Linked DNA regions of Nothobranchius furzeri. The protein of the gene in region 2 interacts with the protein of the main gene of each other region in a biochemical or structural test. Links are inferred from orthologs where the notes say so. Each region holds a gene or a part of one and is shown on either strand. Other genes may lie near its edges.

Region 1 (5,362 bases), on a different chromosome or scaffold from region 2:
CAAATCAGCTTATGAATATTTGAGTTGTGTGTCTTTGTTACATCATGAATGGGAAGAGGTGTGATGACTTGCAGTGACGTCGGTGTTGGACAACTTCAAAATGAAATGTGTACGTGCCCAATCTTAATCTTGTACATTAATCGTAAGACGAATGAAACACACTGTTGTTAGTTATTTTTAGTATCGTCGCTATTGTTTATATTTAAACTGTATTTAGCTCTGTTATCAGCTGGTGTCATGGGTGATTCTGCAGGTTGAGTGCTTTGCAGTCTTGTTTCTGGTTTTATTGTATTTTTGGTACTTCCTGTTTTATTTTGTGCATTCACTTCCTGTCTCATTACAGGCAGCTTCACGACATGAGGCTCCTCACTAATCTGCCTCATGTCTTGCACCTGGGTCCTGGCTTCTCCATTTAAGCATCTTTGCAACAGTTTCCTTTGCCAGTTTGTCTTCTTCAGTTGAGTACTGTGAACCTGCTCTCAGTAACACTTTGTGAGAGTGTATTTGGTTAGTTTTGGACTTGTTCAGTTGTGCTGTACTGCCAGGAATCCCTTCTGCTGATTAAAACTGTGTGAGCTCTGCATTTGAGTCCTCTTTGTGCTTTGATAGCTGGAAACCTTTATGATGGTTTTCTGATCTTTTGAATCAAAACCCTTTAGGATGTGATCAGATACTTGGAGTTGTTGGAAGTTGTGGCTCCAAACACACCCCGCATGCCTGCATGTGGAACATATGAACTGTCTCCATGCAAAATAGCAATGCAAACGTGAGTTTTGAAAAAAAAAACTAATGTTTTCATTGTTTGTCCTCTATGATTCTCTGGTGTACATATGTTGTTTTTCAGGTTTTCTGCTCCACTGTTGCATGACTTGACTGAACACTTCAATGATTATGTTTGGCAGCATTACTGAGGTATAACAACGGTTCAGTTTGGACACGGATTCTTATTTTGCTCTCTATAGTTCTGAGTAAGGTTGCAGTAGCCTTAAACCTGCTTTAAATGGAGGCCCAGTAACCTCCAAGACTTGCCACCACGTAGTTCTGTTTTCATGTCATGTGACCCATGCTGTGGTTTGTAAGCGGCTCATTTTTTCCTCCTGTTTCTGCAAGACTTCCTGTCCATCACATGAACACAGCCAGTCACCTTGAATGCGTATTTCCTGAACGTACATGCTGTGTGTAGAACCTGGCATTTTCATTACCCAGGATTAAAAATGGTGCCAGTTCCATTCAGGCTGAGGGATTTTCCGTGGATAAGTGTGGGGTTTTTACTGTCAGAGACCAAGAATTATCAGGGTTTTAAAAAATAAAAAACACCTCCAAAAATCTGTCGTTTGGAGTCTTTTCTACCGCTACAGTGCAATTACAAAGTGTCATTGGGTTTTTGCTTATGCTCCCACTTTCACTTCATCTAACTCAGTTATTTAATTATTTATTCCCATATTTGACATTTCCTGATCAGAATAAACACTTACATATGGTATATTAGTACACAGGGCCTACCAAGCGACGTGTGTTAGTTATTAGACGTGTGATGAAAGCTGTTCCTGTGCAAATGAAACTTTGCATCTCCATTTTACAACACTGAGATCAAGACAGCAAGCGCCAGGGCCCTCCTCTCTGTAACTTCTCAAATGAGGAAGTTCAGAGCAGAGCTCAAAGCTGCTTCCTTTTGCAGCTAGAAGAGGCGCAGAATGATCAAGCGCTAGAGCCGAAAGCTGAAAAGTTGCCACAGAAAAAGAAGTCTGTATTAGATTGTTTGATTTCTAAAATTTTAGAGCAGATGCTAAAAACTTGAGCTGAGGCTCTTGGATGAGTAACAGAATGCCAGGTTTTCCACCTTGGTACCATGACAGTTTAACGCGATCCAAAGCTGAGGATTTACTCTCCAAAGCAGCAAGAGATGGAAGCTTCCTAATCCGGGACAGCGAGTCTGTACAGGGAGCTTACGCCCTCTGTGTTTTGTGAGTAACTTTTATTTAATTAATAGAGATGTAGCTAATAGATTATCTCTTAACCTGATGACTCGTGTTCACAGAACACCTGTGCTGTGGGCTCTGAAGGAGGGGTGTATGGCTCCTTTACATGTTTCCTATGTTAAGCACTTTCACATCACATACACACACAAACACACACACATGTATGCATATACACACTCACACACTGGTTCCCCTTTTTTGCATCCTGTGGTGCTCAATAACTTCACCCTTTGCCTGCTGCGCCTCTTTTGTGTAAAATCATGACGTGGTGAACTTTATTTTTAAGAAGCCACTGAATGTGTTGGCTAAAGTTTCTCATCCTTCATACTGTTTGCTTTATTTCACCGACTGACATTTGCATTTTGTTGCCAACCACAGATATCAGAACTGTGTGTACACGTACAGAATCCTGCCAAACGAGGACAAGAAGCTCTCTGTTGAGGTAGGTAAACAGTCTGGCTAAAGGTCGGACGATTAAACGAACAGGATGATGTAAATGTCTATAAATAAATAAAAACAGGATCTCCGGTCTTCGGATACAACTGTTACTGTTAAACTGCAACCTATTGGACAGATGCACCAAGGTGCAATCTAGTCTTCCAAAGGTTATTAGAAGCCGTCTTTGGTTACATTTGCACTGTTGATTTTTAACAACATTAATGGTCCTCAGAGAACGAAAGCTTGAAATTACTCTCCATCAAGGGCAAAAGAGTAGAAAGATGTATTGCATGGTACCCCATTGTTCGTCATTAACTAGAAGAATAAAACTTATCTTTGAGCCGTTGTACAGATATTTTGTCGGACCATATTAGCCTCGAGGCAGTCTCTGCTCCCACATCAAACCAATCTCTCTTGGGCCCTTTGATCAGCTCCATCCAGAGGGTAATTGACTAATGACTTATGCATTTGGGAAAAGTTGGGGGGGGGGGGGGTCTGGTTGGTTGGATGTCTGGTTGGTTGGATGTACATATTATTTTGGGGTGGGATTGAGAAGGTGGCCTCTGGCTCTATGGGGCTCTGGTGCTGCTGCCATGGGCCCTGGGTAGAGAGGCCAGGGCTCTCCCCTTGGTGGATTTGGGTAAAGGGTGTGTGTTGGGGTCAGTGGGGGAGCTGCCTGGCTCAGAGGGCTTCAACACCACATTGGAGATGGTGGAAAAAGACTTGGGGTCTTTTCACGCCCCAGTTCCCTGCTCACACCCCAGAGCTGGAGGCTGGGAGTGGGAGCTGGCCATTTAATCAGCGTCTGTGATGATCTGTTGCTTTGTGACTCCGGTGGGCAGGGTGGTGTGCTCATCATCAATCCCAGATCCTGTGCTGGGTGATAGGACACCTGCTGGCTTGCTCCCCACAGCTTTTTGGTGGTCTAGGCTGTCAGCCTCTGCTAGGTCTCTGTCATGGTCTGAGCACCCAGAGTCAATGAGTCATCTGGGCCGGTGTCAGTACGGATCTGCTCGGGTGCAAGATCGGCTCGGGGTCCTTCGACTGCCGATGACGTCAAAGTTCGGCAAGCCCACTCGGACAAAATACACTACTCATCTATACTGTTGGAAAGAATTGAGCAGTTTTGTTATTAAAATAATGTTTCTTAAGACGTACGTTTGTGTTTATAATGGTATTTGTAAAATAAAACACTATATTGTATTCATAATGTTGAACTCCTCTTTGAGCACATCCCTTGAAGAATCATAGGTATTAGCAACACCTATGAAATTGTATTTGCAGGAAAGAAGTGTGTCCCGTTTATTGAAGTATTTTGTGTTTAGAGTTTTTGACATCTTGTCCATGCGTAGTTCAGGTACGCTCATAGCTGCTAGCCAAAACTCGTCTTTGTCTTCTTCTTCGTCTTCCTCCGCTTATCCGGGTCCGGGTCGCGGGGGCAGCATCCCAATTAGGGAGCTCCAGGCCGTCCTCTCCCCGGCCTTGTCCACCAGCTCCTCCGGCAGGACCCCAAGGCGTTCCCGGACCAGATTGGAGATGTAACCTCTCCAACTTGTCCTGGGTCGACCCGGGGGCCTTCTGCCGGCAGGACATGCCCGAAACACCTCCCCGGGGAGGCGTCCAGGAGGCATCCTGACCAGATGCCCAAACCACCTCAACTGGCTCCTTTCGATCCGGAGGAGCAGCGGTTCTACTCCGAGTCCCTCCCGAATGTCCGAGCTCCTCACCCTATCTCTAAGGCTGAGCCCGGCCACCCTACGGAGGAAACTCATTTCGGCCGCTTGTATCCGCGATCTCGTTCTTTCGGTCATTACCCAAAGCTCATGACCATAGGTGAGGATTGGGACGTAGATCGACCGGTAAATCGAGAGCCTGGCTTTCTGGCTCAATTCCCTCTTCCCCACGACAGATCGGCTCAGCGTCCGCATCACTGCAGATGCCGAACCAATCCGCCTGTCGATCTCCCGATCCCTCCTACCCTCACTCGTGAACAAGACCCCGAGATACTTAAACTCCTCCACTTGAGGTAGGACCTCTCCCCCGACCCGGAGGTGGCAAGCCACCCTTTTCCGGTCGAGAACCATGGTCTCAGATTTGGAGGTGCTGATCCTCATCCCAGCCGCTTCACATTCGGCCGCGAACCTACCCAGCAAGAGCTGAAGGTCAGAGCTGGATGAAGCTAGGAGGACCACATCATCCGCAAAAAGCAGAGACGAGATTCTCCTGCCACCAAACTCGACACACTCCACACCACGGCTGCGTCTAGAAATTCTGTCCATAAAAGTGATGAACAGAACCGGTGACAAAGGGCAGCCCTGGCGGAGTCCAACCCTCACTGGGAACAGGTCCGACTTACTACCGGCTATGCGGACCAAACTCACGCTCCTCTGGTAAAGGGACTGAATGGCCCTTAACAGAAAGCCACCCACCCCATACTCCTGGAGCGTCCCCCACAGGGTGCCCCTGGGGACACGGTCATAAGCCTTCTCCAAATCCACAAAGCACATGTGGATTGGTTGGGCAAACTCCCATGCCCCCTCCATCACCCTTGCAAGGGTATAGAGCTGGTCCACAGTTCCACGGCCAGGACGAAAACCACATTGCTCCTCCTCTATCTGAGATTGAACTATCGATCGGACCCTCCTCTCCAGTACCTTGGCGTAGACCTTTCCAGGGAGGCTGAGGAGTGTGATCCCCCTATAGTTGGAACACACCCTCAGGTCACCCTTCTTAAAGATGGGGACCACCACCCCGGTCTGCCACTCCCTAGGAACTGCCCCCGATGACCACGCAATGTTGTAGAGACGTGTCAACCATGACAGCCCTACAACATCCATAGCCTTGAGATACCCAGGACAAACCTCATCCGCCCCCGGGGCTCCGCCGCTGTGTAGTTGTTTGACTACCTCAGCAACTTCTGCCCCCGAGATCGGACAGTCCATCCC
Region 2 (5,329 bases):
AGGTTATCCGCTTTCACCGCAGCGCTGCGCTCCGTTTCAATCAGGCTGTACAGCAGGATTTCCCCTCTTAGCGATATTTTATCTAACTCTGATTGCTTCATGCTATAGATCGTTGGAAAGCTGCTTTGATGTACTTTTAGGAACCGTTGGAATTATTTGAATCTGATCAGCCATTCAAAAGTTATAAAACGGAGCATTTTGGATGACAAACTCAGCACGTCTCTGAATCTGTGTTGTGGTTTGTTGCGCTCAAGACAGGGAATCCCGGTGGCTACCATAATGTATTGTATGTGCACGAAAAGCCCCATTTTTAATCTTTTCAGCACTTTTGGAATTTTAATGATATCTTGAACTAGAGCAGGGATCGGCAACCCGCAGCTCTTCCATCCATCTGATGCGGCTCTCTGTGCTTGTAAAATAATGAATGGATATTTAAATAAAATGCTTTATATTTTACTGCATTAATTTTATATCTGTAAGTCAATTCTATGTGAAGATTGTCTGCGTAAACCTGAACAGGTCCAACCCAGTCTTACTGTGAGACCGTGTTGGGTCACGCTTGTGCGTAATCATATGCGCTCATGAGCTGAAGAGGATGTGAGATTCTGGGATTCTCCTCAGACGGCTCCTGGATGTGTCGCACATTGGAGACAGGAACAAGCGCTATTCAGCCAAAGTTTCATAATCAGGGAACATTTTCTAAGTGACAAGTCTCTCTGAGAGACAGGGTTTGGAAAACACTCGCTTCAGTGGAAGTAAGCTTCCCGCATGCGCTTCTGCGACGCTCGGATCCTGCACGTCTTTTAACACATTGGTCAGGATTGACGCACTTTGTTTTCATTTAGTTGGTTAAAAAAAAGTCGGGCTTGGGCTCGGGCCGGGCCAGAGAATCCTGAAAACCTTTTTGGGCCGGGTCGGGCTGGGGCTCCACCCCCTCGGGCCGGGCCGGACACGGGCTCAGATTTTAGGCCCGTGCAGGGCTCTACTGGGAATTTTTATTGATTTGAAGAAAGCCTTTGATACAGTCGATCACAAAATACTTTTATCAAAAATGGAGAAGTGTGGTATAAGGGAGACAGCTCTCAATTGGCTAAAAAGTTATTTGAGTAACAGAGCTCAGTATGTGCAGTTGGGCTATCACAAGTCTAGCTGTCTCGAAGTTCACTGTGGAGTTCCGCAAGGGTCGGTACTTGGCCCAAAGTTATTTCTGTTATATATAAATGATATTTACACAACTTCAAAATTATTTAAATTTATTATGTTTGCTGATGATACAAATATTTTGTGTTCAGCAGAAGATATACAGCAACTTATACTAAAGGTCCAGAATGAATTGAGTGAGCTTAAGAATTGGTTTGATAAAAACAAACTGTCGTTAAATGTCAGCAAAACAAAGTTGATGTTATTTGGAAATAAAAGAAGTAGTAAAGAAATCTATTTGACTGTTAATGAAATAGCCATTGAAAGAGTGTATGAAATTAAGTTTTTGGGGATATTGATTGATCATAAGCTCTGTTGGAAGCCATACATACAATATGTGTGTTCTAAATTAGCCAGAAGCATTGGAATAATAAATAAAACAAGATATTCTCTACCACAGAAAGCACTACACACACTTTATTGTACTATGATTCTACCATACTTATCATATTGTGTCGAAGTATGGGGCAATACTTATAAATCTAATTTATTAAAGATTTGTGTTCTCCAAAAAAGAGTGGTAAGGATAATTATAAATTCTGGATATAGAGATCATACAACTCCATTATTCTACAATTTAAGATTACTCAAATTTTTTGACTTAATTCAATTTAAAACTGTCCTTGTACCGTATAGGGCCATGATGGGTGTACTGCCGTGTAATTTGCAAAGGTTGTTTAAAACTCATGAAGAGGGTTATGAATTGAGAGGCGTTAAAAACTTCATTTTTCCATTATACCGAACAACTATGAAAAGTATGTGTGTATCTGTATGTGGTATCAAACTGTGGAACAAACTTGATGTGACTTTAAAATTATGTAAAAACATTAGATCATTTAAAATGTTGTATAAACAACTCATAATTGACTCATACGTAAATAGCAAGTGATAAAAATGGTAATTGGCTTCAAATGGAATATTTTGTTTTTGTTGTTTATTGGTTTTGTTTTCTTTTTTCTGTAGATTCATGTGAACAATTGTTTTGTAACTGTCTTTTTATGTAGCAACTAGCAAGGTGAAGATAGAACGACCTGCATAAAGAATTTTTTTTTTCTTTCAAATTTGTTAATGTGAGCAAATGTGATTTATTAACTGAATTGGGGCTGGACTAGATAAGCTTTTGCTTCTTCCAGTTCCCTCTCAAATGGTTTTATGTTATTGTATGTTTTGTATTGTTTCATTCAACAGCATATGTTTATCGTATTCCTCATTTAAAAAAAAAAAAATTTTTTTTTGTATGCACCAGGAATATGGGGGAGTGCATATGCAATTTCATGTTTTCGATGGTTTGAGATAAATAAATAAATAAAAAATAATAATAAAAATACAGGCTGGACAGTTGAAGTGTGCCACTCACTCACCCGAACAGTATAGGAAACTCCCGTGGTGCTGATCACGTTGTCAGAATGCAGCCAGCCACGGGTGGGCTTGTTGACAAAGGAGCCATGGCGCGTCCACTCGTCTCCTCCCAGCTGCCCTCCTTCCACCCGTGCCCTCCTGGACGCTCCTCCGAGCCGGTTCATGTCCTGCAGAGGAGGTCGGCGAGGGGGAGAGGGAGCAGTTAGTGTGGGAATGGGTTGATGAAGAGTAGGGGAGGAGCTAGAGTTGCTCCTATCATCTCCAGATGACTCAACAGGTGCCTGGGACTGCTGAGACCTGTTTGAGAACCTGGGCACTGGGAGAAGAGTGCCAGTGACCCCGAGACGAAGGGATCTCATACTGGGGAAGAAGGAGCAGAGGGTGGTGGGGCTGTTCTCAGCTGGGCGCGGGGAGGTGGGGGGCAAAATGGCAGTGAGAGACGAGGAGGAGAAGGAAGAAGGCAAACCAGGGGAGGGAGTCAGAGGGGTGGCGGGGCTGGATGGAGGGAACGGCGACGGAATGGAGTTGGTCTCATCTGTTGAGCTCAGCGACTCACTCCGAATGTGGGTGTACTTGGTTTTCTGCATGAGCTCCATCATGTATTATTTATAGGTCCTCTTAGGCTGCAGAGCTTCAAGCCAAGTCTTTTTGTCTCACGACTCAAAGTTTTTCTCTGGAAGGACACTCAAGTATCTGTCTGTGTAGGAGCTGCGTCCATCTGTCCGCCGCTCAGGCAGCCCGCACCAAACCGCTTCACAACTGGCTTTATCCACACTGAGAGCAGGAGGAGAGGAGGTGCTGCGGAAAGGTGGGGCCTCCTCAGCAGCGGTGGGGAGCAGATGAAAAAAGTGTTGTAGAGCACCAGAACAGCTCATGTTGTCATCAGTTTCTTTTGGTGTTTTTTGCTTTTGTTCGCCGAGTTCCCCTGAATGGACGAAAACACGTTCTCAGCTCTCCGTAGAGCGATGGTCTTCAGCCACGATGCTAAACGATTTCTCGTCCCAACTTAATCGTCTCCGAGTGCCGGACGACTATTCAGCTGTCGCCAGCACCACGACGAACCAACACAAGTGATTGTCTCTGAATGCTCCTTGTGCGTGTGTGTGTGTGTGTGTGTGTGTGTGTGTGTGTGTGTTACTGCACAAAAAGGTGTGTACATCAGTTTGTGACGCGTCTACATGGCAGTGTAAACCGAGTGTGTGTGCGTGTGTGTAGCAGCTCCCCTTTGGCAGCTCTATCACGCTTGACATAGGCCTGTAAAATTCCTATTAGCAGCCAACAAGGGGATTGCAGAAGGGGCTGCACACGCTAACACAGCAGCAACACATAAAACACAACCTCGGCTGGTCGATAATACAGCGAACACCTGCAGAGCCACGGAAGAAGAGAGAGGAGGCTCTCAAACTCTGCAGTCGTGCAGTCGCTTCAACTTTTCACGACTATTCTTAAATCTGGCTCCCCTTTCTACTCCCTCTCCCCCTTCGTCCAGATGCTTTCATGTCCTCTCTGAATGGCCCTTGCTCTCTCCCTCCCAACGTCTCCTTCTTCTCTCCTCTTCCAGATCACTTCTGGTGAAGACTCCCTTCCCTTCTCTGAGCTCTTCCCTCCCTTCTCTCTTTCTCCTCTCTTATCCTGGAAGTCCTCTCTCTTCCTCCACACGATGTACTCTGCCAGCCTCTGCTTCTCCAACGCCTCCGCCCTCTCCCGTGCCACCACTTCCTCTCTCCTCTTCCAAACGATCTCTCGGTCCCCCTCTCCCCCTCCCTCGATTGCTCGCCCGTTCTCCAGGCTGCCTTGTTTAACAGTCCCACACTTGTATGCTAAATACTGAGCCCTGTCGTTGCGCCTCTTTACGTTAAGGACCGCGGATGGCTAGAGGCTAGACATGTTGGCTTTAGACGCCGATATAAAACCAAAAGAAAGTGAAAAGTTAGTAATTAAGACTGGGCTTAGAGCTGAGCCCGTTCCTGACTGAGGTTCCTGAAATGGCCTGCCTTGGTTCGTGTGTTCTGTAGAACTGGCCACCTTGGTCACGGTGTGTTTTGTTGCTGGAGCACCATTTGATCGTGGTAAAGTTGAGTCTGAGATGTCTGTCTGGTACAGCGAGACACACTGCAGTAGCACAGTGGTGATGTAACACGGCAGAATGTAGGTCATAGGATGACGATGACTACCGGTGGGCCTGTTGAGACGATAACAAGCCCTGATTGGTCAGGCTTGGACCCCCAACTTAGGGTTCCCTGAATGGAGACCCACTGGTGTTGTAAATGAACCCGCTGGGTTAAGACTGCACTCAGCTCCTGACTCGGTACTAGCATGGACACAGATTATAGTTGTTTACCTGAGAGAACAGTATTGACACCGATATGAACGAATCGCCGTGCTATAATCCAGAACAGCGTCCCTATTTTTCTAAGGCTTATCAAGCAAGTTAAGCCCACAAGCATCTCATATTCTGCATAGTCCAATCTAAAGTACAGTCTGTTTTATTAATAGTCTCCAAAGTGACCTCAGTAGGAGGCAAGGCCACACCTACAACCCTCAGCCAGCCGGCTGGCCTACACCTTAGTGCTGTAGAGGCATTATTCAAACGTACAACACACCAACCTTTACAATCACCAACAAATGACACACTTATTATCCAGACAAGTCAAATTAAGGTTGTGAGTATGGCACTGATGTCTCAGTAATGCCAACACTTCCTGTTGTCATTTCAGAAATGAGCCACAGCGCTCGAGGCTGTAGAAGGCGCTGGACGCATGGCAGAAGG

Evidence for each region.
Region 1: the proteins of shc1 (region 2) and inpp5d form a complex in vitro, tested with the Homo sapiens proteins (2 studies listed by BioGRID and IntAct, with this or other methods). The link is inferred for Nothobranchius furzeri from reciprocal best matches to the Homo sapiens genes SHC1 and INPP5D.

What each region holds. Positions count from the first base shown.
Region 1 is NC_091756.1:60,958,576-60,963,937, forward strand, and holds the start of inpp5d (phosphatidylinositol 3,4,5-trisphosphate 5-phosphatase 1), read left to right. Parts: upstream 1-1,687; 5' UTR 1,688-1,812; coding exon 1,813-1,964; intron 1,965-2,357; coding exon 2,358-2,421; intron 2,422-5,362. UniProt on the Homo sapiens protein: Phosphatidylinositol (PtdIns) phosphatase that specifically hydrolyzes the 5-phosphate of phosphatidylinositol-3,4,5-trisphosphate (PtdIns(3,4,5)P3) to produce PtdIns(3,4)P2, thereby negatively regulating the PI3K (phosphoinositide 3-kinase) pathways.
Region 2 is NC_091745.1:78,656,681-78,662,009, reverse strand, and holds the start of shc1 (SHC-transforming protein 1), read right to left. Parts: upstream 3,377-5,329; 5' UTR 3,159-3,376; coding exon 2,562-3,158; intron 1-2,561. UniProt on the Homo sapiens protein: Signaling adapter that couples activated growth factor receptors to signaling pathways. Participates in a signaling cascade initiated by activated KIT and KITLG/SCF.